3 linked regions of the Xenopus tropicalis genome follow. The protein of the gene in region 1 interacts with the protein of each later gene in a biochemical or structural test. Links are inferred from orthologs where the notes say so. Each region holds a gene or a part of one and is shown in the gene's direction. Other genes may lie near its edges.

Region 1 (3,653 bases):
TGTCTTAGGGTGACCGGTCCCCTTTAAGCAGTGACAATTCTTAGTAAACCACCCTTTTAAGAAAATCTAAATGAAAATGTTTTAGAAGATGGAATTCAAAGCCACACACCCCTGCTTTTGATGACTACAACTTTTGGCATTACCTGCCATTAATTTTCCCTCTAAATTCTATGTGGATATGCTTGCAGCTGTTTCATTGTGTACTTTTTACCTGTGACATTTTTGTCCAATAACTATATAATAATCTTTTACTGGGAATATCACTGGGGTATATACAATATTTGCCCCAGAGAATAAAATGTCAGTATTTTTCAGATGCTTTTTAAAATGAGGTTGTGTTATGTACAACTGGCCTACATTCTGTGGTATTCACATGGTTCTCTATATCTTTTATCATGAATAAACTATTTATGTTTTAAGGGAAGGCATTTATACCATGCATGTTCCAAACTACATTTTATAAGTGTTATCATTGTCAGTCAGGCTAATTTATCACTTTAGGAACTCCACCACTGACTTGACATGCTCCTTATATTTAAAGTCAACAATTTTCTGCAAAACTAATAAAGGTATAGTTTAGTTTGTGATTTAAAAATATTATAATGCAATTTGATTTACAAAGGTTGAACAAAAAGGGCAGCTGTTTTTGTAAACTTCTAAGGATCATCAATGTCTGTTAAGCTGATATATAACTTCCTCCTAAATCTGTTCTATTTTTGCTATCCTAAAGCAGCGTGGGCCCTGTTTGCTGTATTGATGTTCTTGGCACATTGTTCAGTGTATTAGTAATTTAGTCAGTCTGTAACTTTCCTTCTTTAGCGAATAACAAGGTTACAATCACTGAGGGGTGCCAAAATGTCAGGCGATACCCCAGGTTGGTGCTCCTGCTAGCAGAAAACTGTACCGGCCTGGGGTACCTCTGAGCCAGTGATCCCCTTCCTTCTGTCTCTGCACCACTTGCGCATGTGCAATAGATTGAAAAGCTGAACTTTAACAAAAAAAGCTGCCTGTTTCACTCTTCTGTGCATGCGCGGGCCCCAGGATTGCAAAGGAAGAACAGGATGAAGAGGATTGCGTGTGTGCAGTACCCCAAGCCAGTGCAGTTTTCTCCTAACAGGAGCACCGGCCCAGGGTAGTTAGGTAAGTCATTACAATTACTGGGGACTTCCTAACACTTGGCAGCCCCCCAGTGATTGTGCCTTTTCCTTCTAAAGTGAGGTGGCCTGAACTAAAATGCAACAGCCACCAATCTAAATCTATGTGGGAGGTTAAGGGACCAATTTATTAAAATCTGAGATTGTGCTTTATCACAGTTTTAAAGCTCAAACATACTCACATTTGTGTTTATTCAGACTCAAGCAATTAACAGTTGGTTAATGAAAAAAAATGCAAATTTGAATAAAAAGTGGAAGCGTATTTGAAGATTCCAAGCAACTTTATTTTAGTTTACATTTATCAAATCATTTAATCTTTACACCGTCGTTGAAAATGAATAGTACAATATGGGTTTTGTTTTCAGTTGTGATTATGCCATTTGAGATTTCTCTTAAATAACCTAGCTTTAAGATTGAACATGTAATTTTTTTTTCTAACATTTGAAAATTGACAAATCTGCCTTCCTGTGTTGAGACACAAAAGAAAGGGGGTCTGTGCCCTCTAGTGGGTACAGTTTAATTTGTATAACTATTTTAGGGTTCATGCAACATTATTCCTATATATTTTACTAGGTCTTTCAGATATTCCTGGGGAAGCTATGGTAAAGCTGTATTGTCCTAAGTGTATGGATGTTTACACACCCAAATCCTCACGCCATCATCACACCGATGGAGCATATTTTGGCACTGGATTTCCTCACATGCTCTTTATGGTTCACCCTGAGTATAGGCCCAAGAGGCCAGCCAATCAGTTTGTTCCAAGGTAAGATGCAGATTGTGTTTGTTATTGTAATACAAACAGTTCAAACTGAACTGAGATTTATTTAGCCGGATGGATTTGTTAAAGAGAGACATTAGAAAGCTGTGTTCTAGAAAGAAGAATCATTCATGGGAACTGTCCATGATGTAAACCTTTTATTTGTTTTAATTTTATATAATAAATGTTTGTTATTTCTGAATAAACATGGAAAGAAATCACCAGTGCTCGGTCTAATCCACGTTGTGGCATTGGCCAGCTGCTAGAAGCATCCTTGTACCCATGCTTAGTCTAACCCACATTCTGGAGTTGACCAACTTCTAAAATGATAGACATTATTTATATACAAAAAAGAGAGAGTGCCAGCACTAAGTTTGCCCTTAAAAATAATTCTTACAAAAAATGGTGTCATTAGGTTAGGTTATGGTTTAGTTGAGGAAGGGAGCAACCCATGATATGTGACCGCACATATAGAAGTATATTGAAAATGGAATTTTAACCATTTAGTGTTAAAACCAACCATTTAATTCAGCAAATCTCCAGTATAGGTGGAAGTCTGAATGAATCAGATTCACTTAAATTCTCCAAGATGTTATATAGATCCTGGCCATTCATGACTAGCCTCCCCTGTCCTATAAATCCTACATATCAGTAATGGAACCTGTAAGTAGGGATGCACCAAATCCAGGATTTGGTTCGGGATTCTGCCTTTTTCAGCAGGGTTTTTATTCGTCTAAATCCACAGTCCTGGCTGAACCAATAATATGCTAATTAGGATTAGGAAGGGTTAAATGTCCATGTGAACACGGAAGTGAAAAATTCTTCGCTCAGAGACTTTTACCTTTTGGATTTAGTCCAATATTTGGCCAAATCCATCGGGATGGATTTGAGGGTTCAGCCGAAACCAAAAAACCTGGGTTCAGTGCATCCCTACTTGTAACCTAGAGCATTACTCTCATCACAGTACTCCATCAGTGTCATGATGGAGGGTAAATCTGTGAGGGTAAAAAATGTTACGATTATGTAATTTTTCTCTTTCGCATGAATATACATGACTCACTTTGTTGACAGGGAGAATATTTTTGAACAGTTCATTTATGCTTCATTCTTATAAAAGAATTAAGCTCTTGGTAGGATATTGTTCATACTTTACTGGTGCGCCTCTTCTGTCTTTTTAAATTCTCATTGTGTCTCTCCTTCTTTCTCTAGGTTATATGGCTTCAAAATCCACCCTATGGCATACCAGCTTCAGCTACAAGCAGCCAGCAACTTTAAAAGTCCTGTGAAGACTATGCGTTGAGTATTGCCCATTAAATGGTTTATACATGGGGTCTGCACACCCCATAAACCTCATTTCCTTCCTTCCATTGACAATGAAAAATGTTTGTTTCGGTGTATTATTTGCTCACAATTTTGATTTTAGTCCCGTTTAAAGTGTATTACTGCAATTTACGGTTGTGGTTAAATAAAATTATAAAGAATTGTTGCTTTTTTTTTTTTTTTTCCCCAGGAAAATACTTCTGCAAAAAATAATGTAGGTACAGGTATGGGATACATTACAATCCTATGGGGTTAAATGATCATTAGTAGAGTATAGAGATCCAACTTATCCTAGGTTGACCAGATCACTTTCAGGGACATGCCTAATACATACATGTTGCAGGGCAGCAGTGATTGCGTTTGAAATAAACTGCAATCCACACGGAACAATTTTGTTCATAAAAAATTAACAATACAGGACA
Region 2 (4,083 bases), on another chromosome or scaffold:
ACAGTGGCTGCAGGTTTCTGAGCACAAAGGCCAGTTTGCCCCATAGTGCCCCAGAACTGCCCCTCTCTGTCCTGCCTGCCCTACACTAGCCCTGTAAGCAGCCTCAGCCTAATACAATCACTAGGTACATCTCATAAAGCTGATAATGAAGATAATTGTGTTATTTATTAGACACATACTAGTGTAGGAATGTTCCAGGCTACTATGCCGCTGTATCTGTTGCTGACTGACTGTCTCCTACCCCAGTCCCACAAGGTGGAGCTGCCAATCAGCAAAAGCTGCCCTGTTAACGCTGAAAATTCTGTGGAGCGCAATGAATTTGGGAATTTTTGCCAAGGGCTTGTCACCCATAGCAACCAGATGTTTGCTTGTAACAACGACATGCCACCTGCAGACTGGATGCTATGAGTAACTTGCTCAGTATCAGAATTATCGCCTTTTATTCCATTAGCCCCAAAGTCCCCGGAACGGTCACATTTACTGCCCCACACCAGCTGCTCTTACCTCCCGGTACCCTTCGGCTTCAGCTGCCACGGATACAACTCGCTGCTGTTTACAGACGTCACTTCCTAGGACACAATCTAGATTCCATAGTGACAAAGCGGAAGCTGAGTATGTGGGCGCCATGTTGCATACTGGCAAAACATTATTCCAGAAACTTGATTGTGTAGTTGAGCTTCGAATCGTCCTCACGGAAAGTGACTAAATCTCTGTTGGAAGCGATATGATGCAAATTGAGAACATATTTAATACTGGAGGTGTATTACCACAGGTGCCTGACTGCGTTCACATAAGATATAGTTGTTCTGGCGTACACACATTTTTAGAGAGTAAAAAGTCTGCAGTTATAAAAAAAGGTCATGTTAAAGCCCACGACTTTCTAACCGGTAAATCCAGAACTAAATATGTCCGCTAGTATTAATTCCTTCTTTTTAGCGAGGTTTAAGCGATGACCAGGGAACTAATGCCGAGGGACAGCGCCATGGGTTTCCGGGAGTTTAGTTTGTTATTGCCTAAAATGCGTAAAGCTGCGGCGTAGGTCAGTATAGCTTGCTACTACATTTCCCAGCATGCCCTGGCGCTGGGCGGTGCCTAACTTGACCCAAGATGATTGTGCGGGCGGTTTCTGTGGCAACAAGTTGCGGAAGTGACCTCAGCTAGTGGAAAAGATGGAGGAAGATGTGGGGAAGTGAGTGAAGCGGAGCGCCCTGTATGTAGTGTTGTTAGTAGTAACCCGTGTAGCTGCAGGTGTGTGTGGGACAGAGGATGCGGCACGGAGGTACGGCTTGTAGGAACTGCCCCACTGGGGGCGCTGTCACACAGGGGCTTATTATCAGCCACACGCCCATAGCATGATACAGAGGGATGGCTCACATGCAGGGCCATGTACCGACCGACACATTAGCGTGTAGCAGTATGGGGAGGCCTGGCCAGGAAGGGAATTACAGTAACAGTATGGGGAGGCCAGGAAGGGAATTACAGTAGCAGTATGGGGAGGCCTGGCCAGGAAGGGAATTACAGTAACAGTATGGGGAGGCCTGGCCAGGAAGGGAATTACAGTAACAGTATGGGGAGGCCTGGCCAGGAAGGGAATTACAGTAACAGTATGGGGAGGCCTGGCCAGGAAGGGAATTACAGGTAACAGTATGGGGAGGCCTGGTCCAGGAAGGGAATTACAGTAGCAGTATGGGGAGGCCCTGGCCAGGAAGGGAATTACAGTAGCAGTATGGGGAGGCCTGGCCAGGAAGGGAATTACAGTAACAGTATGGGGAGGCCTGGCCAGGAAGGGAATTACAGTAACAGTAATGGGGAGGCCTGGCCAGGAAGGGAATTACAGTAACAGTATGGGGAGGCCTGGCCAGGAAGGGAATTACAGTAACAGTATGGGGAGGCCTGGCCAGGAAGGGAATTACAGTAACAGTATGGGGAGGCCTGGCCAGGAAGGGAATTACAGTAACAGTATGGGGAGGCCTGGCCAGGAAGGGAATTACAGTAAGACAGTAATGGGGAGGCCTGGCCAGGAAGGGAATTACAGTAGCAGTATGGGGAGGCCTGGCCAGGAAGGGAATTACAGTAGCAGTATGGGGAGCCTGGCCAGGAAGGGAATTACAGTAACAGTATGGGGAGGCCTGGCCAGGAAGGGAATTACAGTAACAGTATGGGGAGGCCTGGCCAGGAAGGGAATTACAGTAACAGTATGGGGAGGCCTGGCCAGGAAGGGAATTACAGTAACAGTATGGGGAGGCCTGGCCAGGAAGGGAATTACAGTAGCAGTATGGGGAGGCCTGGCAGGAAGGGAATTACAGTAACAGTATGGGGAGGCCTGGCCAGGAAGGGAATTACAGTAACAGTATGGGGAGGCCTGGCCAGGAAGGGAATTACAGTAACAGTATGGGGAGCCTGGCCAGGAAGGGAATTACAGTAACAGTATGGGGAGGCCTGGCCAGGAAGGGAATTACAGTAACAGTATGGGGAGGCCTGGCCAGGAAGGGAATTACAGTAACAGTATGGGGAGGCCTGGCCAGGAAGGGAATTACAGTAGCAGTATGGGGAGGCCTGGCCAGGAAGGGAATTACAGTAACAGTATGGGGAGGCCTGGCCAGGAAGGGAATTACAGTAACAGTATGGGGAGGCCTGGCCAGGAAGGGAATTACAGTAACAGTATGGGGAGGCCTGGCCAGGAAGGGAATTACAGTAACAGTATGGGGAGGCCTGGCCAGGAAGGGAATTACAGTAACAGTATGGGAGGCCAGGAAGGGAATTACAGTAACAGTATGGGGAGGCCTGGCCAGGAAGGGAATTACAGTAGCAGTATGGGGAGGCCTGGCCAGGACAGGGGAGGCCAGGAAGGGAATTACAGTAACAGTATGGGGAGGCCTGGCCAGGAAGGGAATTACAGTAGCAGTATGGGGAGGCCTGGCCAGGAAGGGAATTACAGTAGGGGGAGGCCTGGCCAGGAAGGGAATTACAGTAACAGTATGGGGAGGCCTGGCCAGGAAGGGAATTACAGTAGCAGTAGGGGAGGCAGGAAGGGAATGTGGGGAGGCCAGGAAGGGAATTACAGTAACAGTATGGGGAGGCCTGGCCAGGAAGGGAATTACAGTAACAGTATGGGGAGGCCTGGCCAGGAAGGGAATTACAGTAGCAGTATGGGGAGGCCTGGCCAGGAAGGGAATTACAGTAGCAGTATGGGGAGGCCTGGCCAGGAAGGGAATTACAGTAACAGTATGGGGAGGCCAGGAAGGGAATTACAGTAACAGTATGGGGAGGCCTGGCCAGGAAGGGAATTACAGTAGCAGTATGGGGAGGCCTGGCCAGGAAGGGAATTACAGTAACAGTATGGGAGGCCTGGCCAGGAAGGGAATTACAGTAACAAGTATGGGGAGGCCTGGCCAGGAAGGGAATTACAGTAGCAGTATGGGGAGGCCTGGTCAGGAAGGGAATTACAGTAGCAGTATGGGGAGGCCTGGCAGGAAGGGAATTACAGTAACAGTATGGGGAGGCCTGGCCAGGAAGGGAATTACAAGTAACAGTATGGGGAGGCCTGGCCAGGAAGGGGAATTACAGTAGCAGTATGGGGAGGCCTGGCCAGGAAGGGAATTACAGTAGCAGTATGGGGAGGCCTGGCCAGGAAGGGAATTACAGTAGCAGTATGGGGAGGCCTGGCCAGGAAGGGAATTACAGTAACAGTATGGGGAGGCCTGGCCAGGAAGGGAATTACAGTAACAGTATGGGGAGGCCTGGTCAGGAAGGGAATTACAGTAGCAGTATGGGGAGGCCTGGCCAGGAAGGGAATTACAGTAACAGTATGGGGAGGCCTGGCCAGGAAGGGAATTACTGTAACAGTATGGGGAGGCCTGGCCAGGAAGGGAATTACAGTAACAGTATGGGGAGGCCTGGCCAGGAAGGGAATTACAGTAACAGTATGGGGAGGCCTGGCCAGGAAGGGAATTACAGTAGCTGGCAATGCAAGTAAGGGGCATTGGCAAACATAGTAATGGGGGTATGCAGTGGCAATAGCAGTACCTAGGGGAATAGTTATAGTAATAGAAACAAGACTAGTAGGGTGGCATTGGCAGTAAA
Region 3 (3,653 bases), on another chromosome or scaffold:
AAAAGTGGATGCTGAAAGCTCGTACAGCAATTTGATGGACACTTGTGAAAAAATGGGATATGTTTTAAAGAAGTCTTGTGCTAACCAGGTGAGTACCCCCTCAATAAAGCTTCTAATCATATGATTTTAGGCTTACATTTTCCAAAACCCCAGTAAACAAGAAAAAGCATATAAAACAAACAAAAATACTATTTATTGTAAACACAAAAAAACTATAAAAGTAAAAAGTGTACATTAGTTTCTTCTATCCTTGTTTTTAGAAAACAATCTTATTTCCTATGGGTCAAAAATGTACATACACCTTGCAGACTGTTTTTGTCTTGACGATTGAAGGATCAAAGGTGATCTTAATCAATCTCTAAGCTATTACTGTAAAATTTAATTTTTCAATAAAAGTTGATATGTAAAAGCAATAATGATAGGCCAATTCTAGTAGTCTGAAAAGATTTAAAGGTCTTTGAAACTTGCTCTTCAAAAAAGCAGTAAACGAAACGTAAAGGTGTGCTTTTTAATGTTTGAAATTTTTACATTTCTGTTGCCATTTTAACAATGCCTTTTGGCTCTGAGGTATATTTTGGGGTAATAGTTCTTGTACAAGTAATATAGACCCTTAAGATCTTTGGCTTTTCAACACAAGCAGCAATTGTTGAAACTGAAACCTCAGGGTGTTTACATTTTTGGCTGGAGTGAGGCCAGGGAAAATAGTCAGAATAACAATTTAGGTACAGGTATGGGACCTGTTTTCCAGAATGCTCGGGATATGGGGTTTTCCAGATAAGGAATCTTTCTGTAATTTGGATTTCTATAACTTAAATCTGCTAAAAATCATTTATTGAATAAACCCAATAGGATTGTTTTGCCTTCAATAAGGATTAATTATATCTTAGTTGATATCAAGTACATGGTACAGTTTTATTATTACAGAGAAAAAGGAAATCATTTTTAAAAATTAGAATTATTTGCTTATAATGGAGTCTATGGGAGATGAACTTTCTGGATAAATGGTTTCTGGATAAGCGATCCCATAGCTGTAGTATAATTGGTGGAGCTTACTAATTTTCTTTAAATCATAAATGGCAAATTAGGAACATGGCACATTTTTTTATCAGACAGCAGTCACTGGATACTGTCCAGAAATACTATCCAAAAATCAGTACATATAAAGGGGCAGTTTACCTCCTTTTCAGCATCTATGAATAGGGCTTGTGCTGAACATAGTTTCTGCCTATTGTTGTATTCAACACAAAGGTCTATGGGTTTTTTTTTTCTTTTTGTTATTCCTATGAACACCACGGGTTTACTGAACAGTTACCAGATACCAGATGTGTATAGGTTTACCCAAGTATGTGGCATTTAGAGGCCCATAAATGGTGATGAGATGAGAGGCTTGATAAAGGGCTGGATTGAAGCCTGAAATGTTGCTTTTGGCACTGTAAAGTTTCAAATTTTTTCAAAACAACCGGAGTGCTGCTGTTTTCATCATTTTTGTACTTATTTGCCCGGGCAGTGGGTACAGCGTGCACCTGGGGCTACAAAAAGCTATTTTCACTGTGTAAGCGCATGTTAACTGATTCTATTTGCCATATTATCTGTCATGTTACTGCAAAATCAACACATTGACAGCATTTTAAGTGGGGTAAACCTAGAAAAAAGTTCTTTCCTAAACGTCTTGATTTTGATGAACTTTCTAAAAATCACCTCAAAACTTCCAGCATATTATCTCCTACAGGTCATTAGGTACCCTAGAGGTCTACAGAACAGTTTGATGCTCACTGTACATAGGTTTATCAAAGCACATGGCCCTCAGGAACCCCAAAATATACCTTATGCGCACTAATTTCATGACTTCCATTCACCTAATCCATAAACACACTGGCAGTTTTATGTGTGGTACAAACTGCAAAAAAGTAGGGTGACCTCTGAAAGCCATATATTTTAGAAACAGCGCAAATTTTGTAAGGTTAGCGGTTCTGAAAGCATTTTTAAAAATCGCCTAAAAATCTTGCAATTAGCCTCATTTATCTTGCAGTTTTTTTTTACATACAAAGGCAAATCACCCCAAATATGAACACCAGAAGTCTACTGAACAGTTTTATGCCCAATATTCATAGATATACCAAAGTATGTGAAATGTACAAACCCCAAATTAAATATAAAGCATATGACGTTTTCTCGTCTGCCAAATGAAGTTTTCTCGTCTGCCAAAATTAATTTCTGCAAAACGAGCCCCATGACTGCATATTGTATATATGAAAGACCCCCTAACTGTACAGAAGCTTACGGAAAACAATATGTTTTTGGAAAGTACACATTTTGACAGTTTCAACATTGGTGTAAAAAGGCGTCTTTACCAAAGTACCAATCTGTCTAAAAATGTTGCAATATGACGCATTTATCTTACACAGTTTCTTACATACAAAAGCAGTTTACCCCAAATATGAATGCCAGAGGTCTCCAGCTTTGTTATCACATTTGCATACGGAGTATACAAATGAGACAAAATTGCAAATTAAAGGCCCACCCAAAAAGAAACATTACATTTCACATACATACTGTGCAAGTGCAAACACATATTTTGCATATACCTGTACATACACAGAGCAATGAATAAATAATTATGTGCTAGAGAATTAAATCAATTTTCTTTAGTTTACGCTACCTGTTTAACAAACCAACAATTCCTAATTTGATTAGGAAAATAGGAATTGTTGGTTTGGTATATCTATGCATATGGTGCTTCAAAGTATGCATTATGTAGAGACCCCAAAATGAAAAAAATGTATATGAATTTTCTCGCCTGCCAACTCAGCTTTTGCAAACCTGGCTCCCTGACAGCGTATTATGTGCCATAACAGCCCCTAACTGTACAGAGGGTAACTGACAGCAGATGAGAGCATGTGCTGTAAACTGGAAGAAAAGAATATTGGTTGCTTATGCGATAATTTTTTTGTTTAAAGGACTGTTATAATATGTAGTCTAATTGTTTGTTAATACAATTACATTATGAAGTAAGTTAATACAAGCATTATTAGTATACTTGTTTTTCAAGAAAAAAACTGCATCTGTATAATTAGGTACTTTGTTTTTGTCTACTACAGGTCACCCTATCAACTACTGACAGAAGAAATAATAAATTAATATTCAAGGTGAACCTTGTGGAAATGGAAGACAGGATTCTGTTAGATTTTAGACTTTCTAAGGTATATTGAATGCTTTGGGTTTTCTGTTACTGCTACGCTGCCAGCTATCTAAAAGTGTGTTTATAGTCGACCCCTTGTCTGCCTGTGGCTCGCAAGTAACTGACTACCATCACAGTAGATTTCTCTGTTCTGCGACATGCAATTAAAATCTTACACATGCAGTTTTGACTGTGTATTAACTTTCAGTGCAGCCATTGCTGCTAGAATGCACTATGTATTGCAGTCATTGGTTTTTATATTTATGTTCATGTATTAATAACATTGGCCACCTTTAGCAGTAAAGGGGGGTGCCTAACATCTTAACACCCCCAATGATCCTTACTGTTCTTATCCTTTTATAAAAATCTACTAAAAGTTTGATTATCTTATCTATTACTTACAGGTAAATAGGTTCTTATTTAGTATTTTTTAAATTGTACATATTGTGTACATATGAAAAATGCAGCCTTTAAA

What was found.
Region 2: the proteins of csnk2b (region 1) and tnfaip1 form a complex in vitro, tested with the Homo sapiens proteins (2 studies listed by BioGRID, with this or other methods). The link is inferred for Xenopus tropicalis from reciprocal best matches to the Homo sapiens genes CSNK2B and TNFAIP1.
Region 3: of the proteins of csnk2b (region 1) and chek1, one has a biochemical effect on the other in vitro, tested with the Homo sapiens proteins (2 studies listed by BioGRID, with this or other methods). The link is inferred for Xenopus tropicalis from reciprocal best matches to the Homo sapiens genes CSNK2B and CHEK1.

Annotation. Positions count from the first base shown.
Region 1 is NC_030684.2:74,732,387-74,736,039, forward strand, and holds the end of csnk2b (casein kinase II subunit beta), read left to right. Parts: intron 1-1,727; coding exon 1,728-1,917; intron 1,918-3,120; coding exon 3,121-3,211; 3' UTR 3,212-3,392; downstream 3,393-3,653. UniProt on the Homo sapiens protein: Regulatory subunit of casein kinase II/CK2.
Region 2 is NC_030678.2:47,414,903-47,418,985, forward strand, and holds the start of tnfaip1 (BTB/POZ domain-containing adapter for CUL3-mediated RhoA degradation protein 2), read left to right. Parts: upstream 1-1,152; 5' UTR 1,153-1,189; exon of another isoform or gene 1,190-1,279; intron 1,280-4,083. UniProt on the Homo sapiens protein: Substrate-specific adapter of a BCR (BTB-CUL3-RBX1) E3 ubiquitin-protein ligase complex involved in regulation of cytoskeleton structure.
Region 3 is NC_030683.2:74,045,563-74,049,215, reverse strand, and holds part of chek1 (serine/threonine-protein kinase Chk1), read left to right. Parts: coding exon 1-88; intron 89-3,098; coding exon 3,099-3,200; intron 3,201-3,653. UniProt on the Homo sapiens protein: Serine/threonine-protein kinase which is required for checkpoint-mediated cell cycle arrest and activation of DNA repair in response to the presence of DNA damage or unreplicated DNA.